Linked DNA regions of Macaca fascicularis. The protein of the gene in region 2 purifies or fractionates together with the protein of the main gene of each other region. This does not show direct contact. Links are inferred from orthologs where the notes say so. Each region holds a gene or a part of one and is shown on either strand. Other genes may lie near its edges.

Region 1 (4,734 bases), on a different chromosome or scaffold from region 2:
GCAGTGAGCCGAGACCATGCCATTGCACTCCAGCCTGGGCCCACAGAGTGAGACTCTCAAAAAAAAAAAAAAAATTTAATTTGGCTAGGCTCGGTGGCTCATGTCTATAATCCTAGCACTTTGGGAGGCCCAGGTGGGAGGATTGCTCAAACCCAGGAATTCAAGACCAGCCTGGAGTAACATAGTGAGACCCCATCTCTATGGGGCTGGAGGATCACTTGACGTCAGGAATTCCAGACCAGCATGGCCAACATGGCGAAATCCCATCTCAACTGAAATTACAAAAATTAGCCAGGTGTAGTGACGGACACCTGTAATCCCAGCTACTCAGAAGTCTGAGGCAGAATTGCTTGAACCCAGGAGGCAGAGGTTGCAGTGAGCATCACTGCACTCCAGCCTGGGGACAAGCCCAAAACTCCCTCTCAAAAAAAAAAAAAAATATATATATATATATACACACACACACACATACACACATATATATATATAATTCACCTAGTTTTTTTTTTTTTTTTTTTGGAGACAGAGTTTCACTCTTGTTGCCCAGGCTGGAGTGCAATGGCGCAATCTCTGGTCACTGCAACCTCCACCTCCCGGGTTCAAGCATCCCAAGTAGCTATGATTACAGGCATGCGCCACCATGCCTGGCTAATTTTGTATTTTTAGTCGAGACGGGGTTTCTCCATGTTGGTCAGGCTGGTCTGGAACTCCCGACCTCAGGTGATCCGCCCGCCTCAGCCTTCCAAAGTGCTGGGATTACAAGCGTGAACCACCACGCCCGGCAATTTTATTTAAATTTTAAGGTAAAAATCCCATTCTTTCTCCAAACAGTTGATTGTTCCAACATAAATTTTGGAACCCCTTCCCTACTGATATGAAATACCACCTTTGTAACACTAAATAATCTTATATATTTCTAGATTATTCTGTTTCACCACTCTTGTGTTCCAGGGTTGCTACTTACATTTTGATTATCAAAGCTTTATTTGTATATTCTCTAGTACAAGTCCTTTTCCCATTCTTCTCTTCCAAAAAGTTTCTTACTTTCTAGGTTTACTTTTTCAAATGAATTTTAAAACCATTTTGTCAAGTTTTCAAAAGGAAATCTGGTTGGAATCATGTAAAACTGCCAGCCATATCTCTCTGTTGCTATTTTCCTCAGTGGTAAAATGGAAATAACAGTACTTACCTCGCAGGTTTGTTATGAGAACTAAATAAATTAAATACAGTACAAAGTATTTAAAACACCAAGCCAGAAAGATGTTAACTATTATAATTACTCAAAAGTGACAGCTATTATGATTGCTCAATAAATGTTTTCCAGATGTGTTCGCACAATCTTCAAAGGCTCTTTTTAAGATAAATCAAAAGGTATCATAAAACATAAGCAGTGGTGTGGAAAACAATTTATACTTTTCTTCACCAACGCCTTGACCCTTCTTTGGTGAAATAAAGAGCTGGAACTGGGAGCAGAGACCAAGAAAAATGCCACAGGCTACCAGGTCTCTAAAATTTTACAAAGCTAGCCCATCAAGTGGAAACGAAGACTTCTAGGCCCTTCTAGTCAGCGTTATGGGTGATCAGCATTTCCCTTTAAATACTACTATTTCCCCATCTCCACAGTTATGACAATAGTAGTTACCTTTTGATTTCCTCCCAGAAAATACATAGGGATTAGATGTCTAAAAGACAGTATTTTTCAAATGAGGTCGTGGGCCCCTATAAAGTATAAATGGGAATGATAAAGATGGAGAGACATGCCCAGAATATTATAACAAATTACCTCTACCAGGTTTCCCACATCACTGTAAAGATTGAGAGGGGAGAGGCTGTGGGTTTTTTTTTTGGGGGGGGGGGCGGTTGTCTCATTATAATTGTTAAGAATTTGTTAAATTTTTTTTTTTCTGCATTGAAATTGAAGTGAGGAAGTCAGAGGCCGTATGAGGGGCCTTAAGAGGTGATCTCCTCTACTGAGCTGAATGAGAAATGGAAGCCGAGAGTGGCAAGATGAAACCAGCCAAAGGCCTGGACCCCAGGCCTCCGAATTCCCAGATCTCGGCTCATCCCAGTACACCACACAGCTTCTCACCGACGCTTGCCACGCTTCGAGGTGGGAGGAGTAAAAACAGGCAATCCGACCGCAGCAAAGACGCTGGAAAACCACAGGCCGGCGCAGTCGAAGGCACGTGACCCGCCACGCCCCCCCCACCCTCCCCCTGCCCCGCGCCAGCAGCACGCGCTGCCAACCTCGTCATGTGACCTTCACGCGGCCCCAGCGCTCCCCCTGCTTGGCGACTCTTTCCAGCAGCCATTTTGCTGAGAACTTGTCGTCTGTGCTTGCCGCGGAGCAGGACGCCGCGAAAAGCCGCGGCCAGAATTTACGGGCCGCACACGCGCTTCGAAAGAGCGCTCAGGCCGTCAGGGCCCGGTCGAACCTCAATGAACACGTCGCACCCCGGGGCGCCGGGGAAAGCTGTGGGTGCGCCTCGGCCTGAGATTGGCTGTGGCGTCCACGTGACGCCTCAGCCCCCTCCCCGCCACCTTCTCCTTCCCCCCAACTCACAAAAACACCCAGACTGTTAACACCTCGCGCCAAGAACACGCCACCAGGCGCGTGGGGACGGGCGTAGCGCGTGGCAAGCAAAGCGCCTGCGCGTACCTGCCAGGGCCGACAGCAACCGACCCACGCGCCGTTCCGCTCGCGGGTCCCGGAATCCTCGCGCTGCTGGACCACCCGGCTAGTCATTGGCTGCCAGTTCGGGTCACGTGCTGGTCGCCGGCCCGCCCCTACCCGCTAATCACCTGGCACCGAGCTCGAAGCGGCGCCGAGTCGTTCGCACGCGGAGAGGGAGGGTAGTTAGAGGGCCATCCTTTTCTGCCATTATGGAATTAAACTCATAAAGAGGAAACGAGAAACCAGAGGTTCAAAGCTAAGGAAGCTCGCACCTACCGGCTTAACTTCGCGCGCCTCTCCAGGAGCCGGGAACCATCGCCCTTGGGCGCTCCCCGATGCACGCCGGGATACGCCTGGCGCCCCTCGGTGTGCTGCAGAGCATGCCGGGAAAGGCACCTCTCCCGATCTCCTGGCGCTCACCTCCCGGGCGTTCCTTTCGTGTCCCCTTTGAAAGCCCGATCCTTGGGCTTGGAATGAGACGGTTTGGGTAATTATGGGAGTGTGGCGAGGTATACCAGGCACTTTGAGCCCCTCCTCCCCGACTTGTTTGATCTGTGTGGTCTTGGGGAAACCGTTTAACCTTTCTCCACGGAGCAAGCGTTAAGTGTGTGCCTGCTGAGTGACTTTGTAAAGATTCAAAAAAAAAAAAAAAAAAAAACAGCAAGGGTATTTGCCTACAAATGAACTGCCAGCCTTTCCTGGCCAATGAAAAAGAATGCTAATTTAAATGCAACTTACCAGGAGCCCCACATGAGAGTGGAAATGGCACTTGGAATTTCCCTTGGGATAGAAGATGAGCCCTTTCTTGCTAAACTCACTGCTACTGTTGGGGAAAGCAGGGTGATAAGAGCATGCGGCGTTTTAAAGGAGTCAGGGACATGCCTGTATCACAGTTACTGGTTCCACCTCATACGAGATACGGTATATTGGAAACGAGAAAAAAAAAAACACCGTCTCCTAACTCAGAAAAAGTGGTCAGGCATCAGAACCAATTAACTTTGTAACATATTCACAAACTGCCCTTCAGGCCAAAACCTAATATTTTACTCCCATGAAACCCCCACTTAAAACAATTCACACCTTTTCTGCTTTGAACTCCATTCTTCAGCTTTGCCGATTTCAGAACGATTTCATCAATTCTTAAAGAGATGATTAAGCTTGAAGAATTTGACTAGCGATGGTCAAGCTCAAGAGTTCTTATTTATAGATTAAAAATTAAATGTATCCATTTATAATGTGGTTATTAAGCCAAAATATAGTTTGTGGCACCCTTTTCTAATTTCAAGGTACTTCATAAGCCTAATTATCAGAAAATTATTCCCTGACTAGAAAATCAAAAGAAAGGGTATTAGATGATCATGTGTAATAAAGAGCATTAAATTGTAAGCATATGATGTTATATTTGAAGTTTATAAAACATTCTAATATTCATTATGTATAATCCTTATAACAACTCAGAGAAAAGTGCCATACTAGTATTACCATTTTCTGAGTCAGTCTTGAGTGGGAATCTGGAAAAACATATTTTAACATGTTCTCCAGGCAATTGTTATGCACAACTGGATTTGGGACATATTGGCTGTAGTGGAAAGAACCCAAGGTTTGAAGTCAGACAGATCCATGTCAACTTGCAGCTCTTATACTTCCTGCACTCTGATTGTGATGACAGGTTTTTAAACTTTTTTTTTTTTTGAGACCGAGTCTCAGTCTGTTACCCAGGCTAGAATACAAAGGCATAATCTCAGCTCACTGCAACCTCTGCCTCCCAGGTTCAAGGAATTGTAGTGTCTCAGCCTCCTGAGTAGCTGGGATTATAGGCGCCTGCTACCATGCCTGGCAATTTTTGTATTTTTAGTAGAGATGGGGTTTCACCATGTTGGCCAGGATGGTCTCGAACTCCTGACCTCAGGTGATCTGCCTGTCTAGGCTTCCCAAAATGCTGGGATTACTGGCGTGAGCCACATGCCCACCCATTTTTGAACTTTTTGATTTTCAGTTCCTTTAACTGCAAATTGAGGCCACTTTTGGATTGTCTTTGTTTTTGTTTGTTTGTTTGTTTT
Region 2 (3,395 bases):
TGAAGCCAACATGTGTTGACCTCCTGCTCACACAGGTGGTCAGCTAGCCCCAAAAATATTTTGTCCTAATAAGTAATGAAATGCTCCCCCTTTTCTTACATTATAGTAAATGAATAGACTGCCAAATTTTATACAGTCTATTTGGGCTGTCTATGAAAGATACATAGGGATCCCCAAATTGGTGAATATCATAGCTGACAAATACAGTCTAATCATGGCATATGTTAATAAGTAGATGATGGACTGTAGTTGGCCAGTGGCTTAGTCAGTAGTCATTTATTAACTAGGCAACCATTTTGTGCACATCAACTCCTCATCATGGATCCTTTGGCATTACTAAAAGTGTACTGTCAAAACCATGAATGATAAATCTGTGAACATAAAAAGGTATATTTTATAAATGATACTCTGTCCTTTATTTCCTGAGTTAACTATTTCCCACCTCTAAAATTTCCTCCTATCCTGATTTTTCTCATCAAATAGAAAAGGAATCATAAACCTTAAGATACCTGGAGATAGAAGGGCTTTCTTTTTAATAGGACATGGAGTTGAGTGACTTATGACATTGTAAAAAGATCATCATAAACTGTGTTCCTCCTACCTTCAGTGAAAGCTCTTTAGCCCTACAGAGCAGCAGAGAACTTTAGTTGAATAATTAAACTATATTTGAATAATTAAACTTTATTTGAAAAGTTAAACTACATTTATGTTTTATGCTTCTTTTCTCTCAAAATTCAACCAGATGAAATAATCCTAGAATTGAGGTACAAAATCGTAATCTTTAAGTGAAAATCAACCTTCACATTAAAGTAAGAATAAAAGTGGAATAGTTGTGTAGTATACATTTAGGAAAGCCTAGGATGAAAAGAGAACGATGTACTCAAGAACAGAAAAAAAGAACCACTACAGAAAATTTGTTGATGGTTAGAAAATAACAACAAACAACACTAGGTACAGAGATTACATGATCACTTATTAGACCACTAGTCTCACATTTTTACTTCTACTGTGGTGTAGTACCTTTCTATTTCAGACTAATGCAAGTAATTGTTGTAAAATTCAAGTCTGAATTTCTTCAGTGACTTCTCATCACTTAAGAATAAAATCAGACTGCTTAGGTTTTAATCGTGGGATCCCTTCTTATCTATCCAACTTGGTTTTTTTTCACTCTCTCTACCACTCTGCTCTCCATCTCAAACTTTATCCTATAGTAGTACCAGTATTCACCAGATATATTGCACTTCTTCATGCTTCTTTTTAAAGTGTGATCCCCAGAGACCTCAGCATAACTTGGAAACTAGTTAGAAATACAGTTTCTTGGGCTCTACTTCAAGGCCTACTAAATCAGAAACCCTGAGGGCAGGCTAAGCAAGCTAAGCCTTTTAGGTGATTCTGATGTACCTTAAATTTGAAAACTGCCACCTTAACCCTTTTCTTTTTTTAACCTCAGCCATTAACTACCATACTGTCAATATCACTTTTATTTGTGCAACTCTTAATCTACATCTCAAACTCTATGTCAGTCCTATTTTTTAAGTTGTATATTGGACATCTGTCCTGGATATCCTTTCAGTACTTCAGACTATCTAGGCCCTGAGCAAAATTCATTATCCATCTCCTGAAACCTACTTTACATACTGTTTCCTATTTTCTCTCAGCCTGGCAGCTTTGATTCTTAGATTGTACAATATTTTCTCATTATTTTTTATGTTGTCTTGCTGCAGAGGAACAGGGGGAAAAAAGATTTTTAAAAAACTGTACTAACCAAAAAAGGGTCAGGATTTTTCATGCAATAAAGTTACTATTGTTTGTAGAGCCATCTGTTAAAATGTATTTTTATCTTACTTCTTCCCTCCTTCCCTCTGCCTCTTTCCTTGCTGTATCCTTCTTTCTCTCTCAAGAACTTAGAGACTGTATTTTGAATCTTAACCTCAGTTGTGCAAGTTCTGTGGTAAAGGTGGACAGGTGAAAGCTTGTACCAGCATCAGATGTTGAAGCCAGGCAACATTTCAGATATCCCTGAACAGTTCTTACAGTAGGTTCTCAATAAATACTTTCTAAATGAGTAAGTTAGCAAGTAGATGAGTCTCAAAGGACTGGGTAGATTTCCAGGGTCAAAAGAGCATAGTGAGATTGTGGCTGGAGATGTAAGAAACTTAAAGGATTTAAGCAATAAGGAGTGAGAAATTTTGATAGTAAATGTTTATTAAATGAATAAATGAAAAGCTTTAAAAAACAGATAGCCATTGTCACAAATGGTTAGGTATTTCCTTCTCTGAAGGAGGAGGGATAAATTATTATTTCAGTGTAAACTTTGAAGTTTGATTTTTAGAATTCATGTTTATATGGGTACATCCCATTTAGTTTGATATACATTTAAAATAATTTCTTATGTTGATTTATGTAACAGTATTCTAATGTTTGAACATATATCTTAGACTATAAATTTTAACTGTTACAGTTTGTTCTGTTTTTGTTGAACAGGAAAAACAATGATACATACTTGAAAGTTATTGTATTATTAATTTGTTTTCATAATGTGAGATATTCTCTCACAAAGCACTTATGTTTTAAGTTATAATTTAAAATACCTTTCTTTTTAACATGCACACAGGAAACCTCGACCTGTCTCCCAGTTGGTTGCACAGCAGGTTACTCAGCAGTTTGTGCCTCCTACACAGTCAAAGAAAGAGAAAAAAGATAAAGTAGAAAAAGAAAAAAATGAAAAAGAAACAACTAGCAAAAAGAATAGCCATAAGAAAACCAGGTAAATTTGAAGAGTGTTTTATGACATTTTTGAAATAATAAAACCATTTAATTTTTTAACCATTGATATACTAATACACACAAAGTGGAAGTAAAATATTTGGTTTCCTTTCTTTTAAGGTATCAGAAAAGGTTTTACTGAGTTTGAAAGATACATTGGAAATTAAACACAGAAGCCACAAATACAAGCTTAAATGTGGTGATGCTTTTTTCTTTGTACTAGATTGGAAGACATTGTATCTGGGTGTTTTGTTTTGTTTTGTTTTTCCCTTAAGAAGAGCTGTTTGAACCAGGAGTGGTTTTCAAAATACCGAACAGATAATTGCATGGGTTTTAACCTATCAAAATGGTCATGTGTTCAGTCAGAACAATCATGATACCCTTATTAGTGTGTGTCAGTGGAGTAACAATCTTCCTTGCATGTAGCTCAACCTTAGTTTTTATCACCTTGCTCCATGGTGCAGCTATTTCATTGTTGTCTAAAACATCTATTTTAATAAAGTTAATAAGCTGTCTGCAAAATTATGATACAGCTATAGAAGCACAAGTTCTACTTCTAGGCTGTCACAGTTTTTGGTCGCATTGAAGAATATTCATGAATGATTGGTTTGATTAATGTTAATGAGTTG
Region 3 (4,623 bases), on a different chromosome or scaffold from region 2:
ACACTCACCGATGGGAAGCATTGGCTGGTTCTCACAGTACACACGAGGACAGTAACCAAAGTCTCCCTGCTGGTACTTTTCCAACTGAAGTGAATAAAATGGAAGGGGTTGGCAGGTAGGTGTGAAGAGAAGAGGCAACTCCCTTCTCAGCTCAACCCATATCACTCTGTCCCCCACTCCTCCCACCTCTGTCCAGAGGCCCCTTCTCTGGCCCAGATGGGCTCTCAAACTCCTATGTTGCCTTTCTTCCAGTTAGGCAGGCTACAAACCATCAGAGCCATTTGTTGTTTGTTCCCTGAGGAAGAGGCAGTCTATCACAACTCTCTGTTCAAGGACTGTCTCCCTCCCTGAAAATTATCCCTTCAGGATGACCCCCAATCAGAATTCAATTCCCAGGCCCAAGCCTGGGGTTCTTCTCCTCTTCTCAGCCAGTTTCCTTAAACAAGGCTTAAACATGACTTCTTGCTGCAGGAACCTGTGTCCCTTACTGCTCAGAAGGAGGCAATTAGGAGCAGAGAGGCCTCACCATCTGGGCAATGCCACGGTTGGTAAGGATGTAGCGGGCGTGGATCAATCCATAAAGCATCTCGGCAGCCTGCTCAATCAGGTCACTCTGGTTGGGGTTGTCTTCCAGTTCTTCATCTGAAACACAGCCCGGCCAAATGCAACCACTTGTTTTTCAGCTTTCCTAGGTGCCCTGCCCATATCCAGGGGGTGCGGGCTATTCAGTTCGCCTGGCACCTACTTTTGGGCCTTACCCCATCCAACATCTGGGCATGTGACCCAGAAACCTGGGCTTCTGACCCTTGCGCCAACCCAAGACAGCTCTGTCTTCTCTTCACACCTCTTTAGCCTCCGCTCCCCACTCTCCCTCCCAGCTCCCTCCCCGATACATAACTGCAACAATGTCAATGCAAAAGATGAAACTCTAGACTGGAAGGTGCAAAGCAGGAGAAATAGCAAACCAGACCCATGAGGAAACATATTTTGGAAAACATCTGAATTGTGGATTTAGAAAACATGGGAACAAGTGATATACGTCACAAAACTAGACACAGTCAGGTGGAGGATCAAAATAAAGCATGAATTTGGGGTTAAAGAAATCAGAGAACCAAAGGAAATTTCAAAATTCAAGTAAGTGAATATAGATTTGAAGAGAAAAAAAGTGCATGCACACACACAAAACAACCCTGAGGGTGCCTCACCAGGCTCCAGGTCCAAGATCATGTCTAGAGCTTGTCGATAGTGAGGAACCTGCTCATTGAGTCCAGTAAGATTAAATTTGTCCTGGATGTAGTCTTCATCCACCTGTTGGGACATGGAAGCCAAGAGGGAACCCATATCAAAATCCCCATCTTTGACCTGGGCAAAATGCTCTAACTGATGCCTTATCATCAACACAACTGCATCTGTTCCGCTTGTTTCTCACTCCCAACTCAGCAGAAGTACTTGCGTCTCTCCCTAGTTCACCTATACTCCCTCCCATAAAGCTTTGGCTTTTCTTTTCTAAGGATAAGCAGGTACAGCAATCTTTTTCTTAGACATTCTTTTCAAGATCTCTGTCCCTACTCCTGTACTCCATCTCTAGGAACCAGTTTTGTCCTCTCAGCTGGCTGAGGAGGATGGAAGCTGAACGGCATGGTTTCTGAACAAAACATTTCAATACGTAGCATTTCAATTTTCCTAACAGCCAGCTGAGACAGGTACTAGCAGTACAACTTTAGTAATAAAAGATACAGGCTGGGCGCAATGGCTTATGCCTGTAATCCCAGCACTTTGGGAGGCTGAGGCGGGCAGATCACCTGAGGTCTGGAGTTTGAGACCAGCCTGGCCAACATGGTGAAACCCTGTCTCTACTAAAAATCCAAAAATTAGCCGGGCGTGGTGGCGGGTACTTGTAATCCCAGCTACTTGGGTGGCTGGAGCAGGAGAATCGCTTGAACCTGGGGGGCAGAGGTCGCAGTGAGCCGAGATCGCACCACTACACTCCAGCCTGGGCGACACAGTGAGACCCAGTCTCAAAAAAAAGATAAAGAAAAAGACACAAATTGCCTGCTGGAGGGTGGCAGAGTCGAAACTTGGGCCCCAGTTTTGCCACTTTAGCACAGGTTCGTCGGGGGTTATTGAGGGGACTCTTCGTTGATGGGAAGTTTTCAAGTAGTATGTAAGAGAACAGTGTAGAAGTGGAATACGTGAAGGAACATCTGGTGGGAAGATATGTGAAGCCAGCAAGTAGGGAGGTCGAAGAGAACTCACTTCACAGAAGAATTCATTGCCACGGAGCCCACAGAACCAGGAAATCCAGGACACCTCCTCTGAGCTGCTCATCTTCACGTCAGCTGAAAAAAAGAGTGTCAGTAAAGCTCAAGTTCTCCTTCCCTGCCTCGGGTATCCTCCCTCCTCCCACATTAGAACCACCCTTTCTTAAAGGATCCCAAACTCTGAAGCACTCCTCTCCAACTCCTCCAATTTACATCTCAGTTCCCTTTTCTTTGACGTTAAACATTCTTTGGGGTCCCACCACTTGAAAGAAGCCAACAGATACTTTGACCCACCAGCCCGACCCACGTCCCTGGAGCTCCCGAAAGCCAGGGCCCTCTCTTCTCTGTGTCAACTCCGGCAGGGACCTCGACTCAGGCTCCGTACCAATGCAAGTCTCTGCACGACCCCGGCGCCTTTCCCAAGGATTTCCAAGTTTATCACTCTCAAGCAAGAATCGGGCGCCTCCTTTTCTCAAGGGTTGGGGGCGACTGTCAGGTCCCTTTCACCGGATTCCACACATCCCCCCTCCGCTCCTCAAGCCACCTCTCCCTCCTTGCCGGACCTGGTTGCTTCCTCCCCCCGCCCCCATATCAAAGTGCGGAGACCCATGTGCGGCTCCCAGCGACAAGCGACTAGGAGCAGCGAAGACCTCAGACTCACCAGCTGGACGGGGACCAGGACTGGGGTGGGGTAGGGAAGTTGCTACTTCGAAGGAACGGCGGCGACCGCTACAGCGCAGGCCGCGGACCCGACCGCGGCAGGCGAAGTGGGGTGGGGGGAGTGGAAATTGGGGAGGGTGGGGAAGAGGGCAACACGCAAGCGCCAAGGGTCAGGTGCCGCGGTGGATGCCGGGACGCGGAGTCCCCGGTAGAGAGAGAAACCGGCTAAGTGAGGGAAAGCGAACTACCAATCCCAGGATGACCCGCGCACGACCTGGCTGTCACGAAGCCCCGGAGGAGGACGCTTGCGGGCGGGGCGCAACGAGAAGCCACCGGAAGCGGAAACCAGGTATGGCGTTCGGGGCCTGGGAGCCTGGGCAATACAGTTGTGTGCTCACTGGGCGAAGAAGCTGACTTAGGGCGGGGAAAGGAGGGAGCCAGGCTGGACCCCTCCTCGCAGCTCTCCTCACAGTTGCCCTCTAGTCCCGACGCGGTGCTGCTTCCCTGGGGACTGGCCTATCCTTGGCCAATGCGCTGGGTCCTTATTGCCTGTTGGGCCCCTAGTGCGAGTCAGTCCCGCCAGAGACCCTTGACGGGCCTTCTGTTTTACTCCGGGCTCCGGCCTCATGAGGCGAGAGGTGCGGCTTGGCTCCGTGCGTAGGGACTTGGGTTGGGAGGGCTGGGCTGGGCTGGGCTGGGCTGGGCTGGGCTGGGCTGGGCTGGGCTGGGTGAGAACCAGAACGGCCCAGTGCGCTAACCTGAGGTGGTGCCAGCCATTCTGCTCGTCCCCTTGCACTTCTCCATTTCCCCTTAGTCTCTAAGTGTGACCTTCGAACCCTGGTCAGAGTAATGGTGAGGGGCAGGCGTGACGTTATTTCATTACACGGCTTCTCGGCATTCCACAGGTTTCCCTCCGCCTCCTGAGGGCCTTTCCTAACCCAGAGAGTGGATTCCTAGCTCCAGAAAATGGGCTTGGAGCGGGGGCCACGTAGAGGAAGGCGAAGGGCATTGTGGGGGCGTTATGTAAAAGTAGGACCCCAACCGACAGATCCTAGCGCTCGCGCCACCTGGGCGCGCGGAGCTTTGCTCGTTTACTATTGGAAAAGTTCCAGCGCGGGAAACTGAACCGGGAGCTTTGCGCACGCCTGAGCCATCAAGTAATGTGGGTGGTGGTTTTTGTTGTTGTTGTCGCCACGCATGCGTCTCCGTGCCGTGTGGCTATTTGATTGTGTCAACTCTGCTGATCAGAATAGCGCCATTTTGCGTTACGGAAGCTACACGGCAACACGTATAGGAGCCTCTCCCCGAGATCTTCTAGGGAGTGACCCGTCTATTTTTGTTTGGGAAGAGGAAACTCCGAAATGGGATCACGGAAGACTTAAAGGGCCAGGTTTGATTTTTTTTTTTCCTACTGGTATGTCTGTTTTACGGGGTGAGAAAGTGATTTCAGAAAGAGGCTGGTATTTATTGTTGGTAAGGATGGGGGTGGGGGCCGGACGCAGGACCTCTGGACGACTGTCTCATGGAGTTTGATTAATCTTTACTAAGGAGCAAAGTCGGTATTGTAGGGTTTCGTGTTTTTACGCATATACTCTCTCCCTTAGACCCTGCAGAGTCTTAAGTTGTGGGGTCACTTTAGCGGCAGGAAAGTGTTTTTGACTACTTTTTCTCATCCCAGCAGGTCCCTGAGGCTCTGGTTGCT
Region 4 (4,592 bases), on a different chromosome or scaffold from region 2:
AGTGTCAAACCAACTTCCCTTGCCTACTCCGAAAATCAAAAGGAAAAACCCTAGGCACCTTAATAGCAAACTAAAAACATCTAGACAAAACAGTGAGATTAGCATTCCAGGAAAGCAGAAACATTGTAATAATTTAATAAACAAATTTACATCAACAATCATGTGGACGAATATTTTGAAAAGCAGAACGCTTTCAAGAACTGTGAGCCAAAATTTCACCAAAAAAAAAAAAAAAAAAAAAAAAAAAACTTTCTCTTACTAGGATTCAGTATAATTCCAATTCAAAGGATAATTCTGCAAAGGAAGCCTAACGATCCTTACCCTCTGTCTCTGATCAAGCCCTGGCACAGATTTTACAACTGGAGACTTGCAGGAAAAAAAAAGTTTTCAACAGACTAGGCCCCAAACATGAAGGATAAAAGTAAACGAAAAAAACGAATTCAATTTTCAAATATATGCATAAGTATATGAGAATACTTCAAGGATAAATAAAACAAAATAAATTATCTTTAATGACTATTACCCAGGGATAATTTTTAAGATTTCTGGAACAACTACATCCCCGGATTTTAAGAAAATACCAGCTCTCAATAAATAAGTTTTCTTAATGCCTATTTGCTTAGACAACCTGCATAATCTTTGCTTGCTCTAATGAAGAGCAGGTACAACTGAGATGGCTTGCCTTTATCCTGTGATTATTAGGTTCTTATACCAGAGGTATCAAAGTGACATCCTGCAAATTCTAACAAGCCCAAACAGTTGTTCCACACATCATTTTAAAAATCAGAAAAATAACATAACGCTTTGGATTTCTAATCTTTCTTAAAAAATAGGAAGATCAGCTGGGCGCGGTGGCTCACGCCTGTAATTCCAGCACTTTGGGAGGCCGAGGTGGGCGGATCACGAGGTCAAGAGATCAAGACCAGCCTGGCCAACAAGGTGAAACCCCGTCTCTACTAAAAATACAAAAATTAGCTGGATGTGGGGGTGTGCGTCTGTAGTCCCAGCTACTCAGGAGGCTGAGGCAGAAGAATCGCTTGAACCCAGGAGGCGGAGGTTGCAGTGAGCCGAGACAGCACCATTGCACTCCAGCCTGGTGACAGAGCGAGACTCTATCTCAAAAATAAATAAATAAAATAAAATAAAATAAAAAATAGGAAGATCTGGCAATACTGACCCTTCACTCCTACATAACAAACCACTGGAATTCAGTAGTGGCTGACCTTTTAGGAGAGGCATTGCTCTCCAGTACCCAAGTCCTCACCTCTTCTTTCTTTATTCTTTATGGCCCTCATGGGCATTCAAATTTTTTACCCCCATTCTATACACTTCCTACTGTTCCCAATTTCAAATATTAGAATTCTGATATACTTATTTCTCTTCCCCTCTGATTCTGATTTATTCTATATGTTTTCTTTTTTTCCCCTCTAATCTATTCATGAAAAACCCATATTACTGTCTCAGACTCCAGAGACATGAAATTAGTGCATATCTAAATCCACAGAACCATCTACTGGGAACATTAATATCAAAACCCTAAAAAATTATTGATAACATTATATGGTCTCATCCATCACCTTTCAGCAAAGCTCTTCCTGCAATGCCACTTTTCTTCAGCTATTTTTTAATTTTCTTTATACCTCTTCTTCAAATACAGAGAATCAGACCATAATAACTTTATGTGACACTTTGATGATGCAACGTTTGGCTCCTCTACATTTCCAATTTTTGTGTTAGAATACCACATTGTGCTAGATTCTACAGGTCTATAGCAGTCACATGACTTGGTTAAAGGCGATTATTGCATGTGGCTTCAGCTTCACATAATTATACAGATATGGTTTAAAATCTACTTGTTCCTAAATAAATCTTCTGACCACTTTGCCCTGAAATAATACTACCACTGACTTCAGAATGCTGCATTTCTCATTTCCACTTACATAGCGGCAGCTGGATCCCCTATTTGAAAACTACAGAACAATTCAATTCTTTGCATACAGCTCCTCTTACTGAACTTATCACCTGAGAATCTAGAATGATAGGATTTGCAACTCCCCCACCCTCCAGAACCAGGCCCCACCTCACCTTAGTGGTTAACATTAGTGATTTACTACAATATTAAAAGTAACAGTACGATCTCTTTTTCTCTCTGACCCCAAAAAGGAATAGAACTGAACGGAAATAAAAATGAAATGGAGAGTAGGAGACGTACCGCAGATTGAAACCTCGGTTGCTCTTCCTGGAATAGGAGAGAAAAAAAAATAGAAAATATAGAAGTTATTTTTACACTTAACATTCAATAATAAGAAAGAAAATGCCGGCGGCAGAGGAAGCGGAGGGTGGGGAGTCAGCCCGACACCCCTTCCTCCCTCCCCACCCCTTGCCCCCACCCTTCCACCCTCGGCGGGATCCGGTAGCGGGATAGAGGGGTCCCGAGCGCCGCCCCTCCTTCCGGGATCCGACCCGGGCCAGAGGGGTCCCGAGCACTGTCTCCTCCCTGCAGACCCAGCTCGGGCATCTAGGCACCCCCAACCCCTCTCCGCCCTTCCTCGCCCCCCAGGATCCGCGGGTCACGGGAGGAGAGGATCGCGTTCCGAAGGGGCAGGTCCTGAACGCCGTCCCCTTCCCCTGGATCCGGACAATGGGATCCCGGGCGCCCCCCATCCTTGTCCCCCGGATCCTGAGCCCGGGAAGGTGGGAGCGGGAGGCCGCAGCACCCTCCCCCACGGGAGAAGGTGGGAGTCCCAGAAGCCGCGTGTCTTCCCCCCACCTCCAGTCCCAGGAGGCCGCTCCGGCCAGGAGCCGTAGGGGAGCGAGCCGGGAACGCGACGGAGGCAGTCCTGGCCCCGAGGGAAAGGGGAAGGGGAAGGAGGCGGCGGCGGCCCGGCCCCCTCCCGCCGTCGCCCCGCTGAGAGCCCCGGCCGCTGTCCCCGCCTGACAACCCGCACGGGAAGGAAGAAGCCCCAGGACTCACGTCGCTCTCCACCTCGATGTCATCGTTATCGCTCATTTCCTACAGCCCAGGGAGCGGCCACTGCAGCGGCGGCGGGGAGGGGAAGGGGTGAAGGGGAGGGGGAAGTCACCGACAACAACAAGCCGAGTCCCCCCACACACACACTCACTCACTCACTCACTCGCTCTCTCACTCACACACACACACAACACGGGCAAGAACCACCTCCTCACTGCAGCACCGGATCAACGGCGGCACGCACGCCCGGTCGGCCCCCGCCACGTGACCAAGCTCGCAGCGCTGGGGCAGCCGAGACTTGTAGTTTTTGTCCCTTTGACAGACGGCCCGGGTAACTCCAGAAAAACTACAAATCCCGGAAGAAACCGCATCCAGGCGTCGCCAGCCAGGCTGGTAGACGGAGCCCAGGGCGCCTGCGCGTCCCGGAAAGGGGGCGGGGAGAGCCGCGGCGCGGCGCCTCCTGGGAGTCGTAGTCCGCAGACCGCGAGTTGTCAGGAGATTTTCCTCCAGAGGCGGCAGAGGAGGCTGCTGGGAAGACAGGACACGTGGAGGGAGCTGGAGCTCCTGGAGCCGGGCACCGTCGGCGCGCTGAACGCCGGGCCCAGGGGACTGGGTGGAGTCTCTGGGGGAGTAGCCGGCTGTCTAAATAATGCTGCCTCTTTTTGGTGTGACTGGTTATACTTTGTCTTCTTGATGCGAAGTGGTTCTGTTTTGCGCCTAGGGGCGTAACCCGCCCTGGAGGGAATCCGGCTGCGGCGGAACAGGGGGTGCGGCTCGGGATGCCGGCGCGAACCCTCGGGAGCTGGTGGGGAGGTATCAGTGGCAGGTGTTTCGTGGTGTTACCGGACAGGCAGGATGACCGACCTCGCCGGGCGACCGCTCCCAGCCGCGAGAATCCTGTATTCATTTATCCGGGAGTGACCATCCTCGCTACTCAGCTACTCGCGTGAGGTTCCAGCATTCACAGAACGCGAACCCTCAACCACTGTGGACGTGAAAGTAAAAGCCCTTTAGAGTTTGTTGTAGCCCAGGCAGTTTAGGCAGTATCCCAGCTCAGAGTACCATAATTAAGATCGCAAAAAGGATCAATATGGGAAACTTGGGCAGTTCCCTGTCCAGTTAAAATCATATTTATATACTGTGGCATGAAGTGTAATCACATCCATTCCACCAATATTTTTTGAACACCTAACATGTGCCACAAGGGGATGCCATAACGGATAAGACCAAAACCATCCCTGCCTTAGGCCAAAACCATCCCTGCTTTTATGCATGCAGCTCACAGCTGTGCAAGCAAACGTGTCTGCCCTGCCGCCATTTTAAGAGTATGCAACAAGTCCCATGGGAAGGAAAAAAACATAAGAAAGGCACTTTCCACCTTGAGACAAAGTACCCATACTACTCCTTTACATCTGGTCTCCAAAATGAATGACATCTTGAGCTTTTCCCATGAGTTACTGATTCCCGGATGAAAACCGTATTATCCCTGACTTTTGAATGTGGAAATTTGGGGATATGTCACACACAATTCTTGTGACATGCATTCTTCAACGTGAGAGTGTCATCCATGCTGAAAAGACAAATGTAAATGTGGTAATTTTTCCTTTACATTTTTTTCCTT

Evidence for each region. Proteins that work in one complex are often made in the same cells at the same time.
Region 1: the proteins of YAF2 (region 2) and MGA purify together in Homo sapiens (affinity purification with mass spectrometry; 5 studies listed by BioGRID and IntAct, counting the BioPlex papers as one, with this or other methods). This does not show direct contact. The link is inferred for Macaca fascicularis from reciprocal best matches to the Homo sapiens genes YAF2 and MGA.
Region 3: the proteins of YAF2 (region 2) and CSNK2B purify together in Homo sapiens (affinity purification with mass spectrometry; 5 studies listed by BioGRID and IntAct, counting the BioPlex papers as one, with this or other methods). This does not show direct contact. The link is inferred for Macaca fascicularis from reciprocal best matches to the Homo sapiens genes YAF2 and CSNK2B.
Region 4: the proteins of YAF2 (region 2) and MAX purify together in Homo sapiens (affinity purification with mass spectrometry; 3 studies listed by BioGRID and IntAct, with this or other methods). This does not show direct contact. The link is inferred for Macaca fascicularis from reciprocal best matches to the Homo sapiens genes YAF2 and MAX.

Annotation. Positions count from the first base shown.
Region 1 is NC_088381.1:18,190,618-18,195,351, reverse strand, and holds the start of MGA (MAX gene-associated protein), read right to left. Parts: upstream 3,026-4,734; 5' UTR 2,951-3,025; exon of another isoform or gene 2,248-2,950; intron 1-2,247. UniProt on the Homo sapiens protein: Functions as a dual-specificity transcription factor, regulating the expression of both MAX-network and T-box family target genes. Functions as a repressor or an activator.
Region 2 is NC_088385.1:48,735,300-48,738,694, reverse strand, and holds part of YAF2 (YY1-associated factor 2), read left to right. Parts: intron 1-1,901; exon of another isoform or gene 1,902-1,988; coding exon of another isoform or gene 1,989-2,035; intron 2,036-2,614; coding exon 2,615-2,767; intron 2,768-3,395. UniProt on the Homo sapiens protein: Binds to MYC and inhibits MYC-mediated transactivation. Also binds to MYCN and enhances MYCN-dependent transcriptional activation. Increases calpain 2-mediated proteolysis of YY1 in vitro.
Region 3 is NC_088378.1:140,053,896-140,058,518, forward strand, and holds the start of CSNK2B (casein kinase II subunit beta), read right to left. Parts: upstream 3,026-4,623; 5' UTR 2,923-3,025; intron 2,340-2,922; 5' UTR 2,329-2,339; coding exon 2,257-2,328; intron 1,309-2,256; coding exon 1,206-1,308; intron 643-1,205; coding exon 527-642; intron 85-526; coding exon 9-84; intron 1-8. UniProt on the Homo sapiens protein: Regulatory subunit of casein kinase II/CK2.
Region 4 is NC_088381.1:132,921,883-132,926,474, forward strand, and holds the start of MAX (protein max), read right to left. Parts: upstream 3,026-4,592; 5' UTR 3,011-3,025; coding exon 2,771-3,010; intron 2,350-2,770; exon of another isoform or gene 2,297-2,349; coding exon of another isoform or gene 2,240-2,296; coding exon 2,213-2,239; intron 1-2,212. UniProt on the Homo sapiens protein: Transcription regulator. Forms a sequence-specific DNA-binding protein complex with MYC or MAD which recognizes the core sequence 5'-CAC[GA]TG-3'. The MYC:MAX complex is a transcriptional activator, whereas the MAD:MAX complex is a repressor.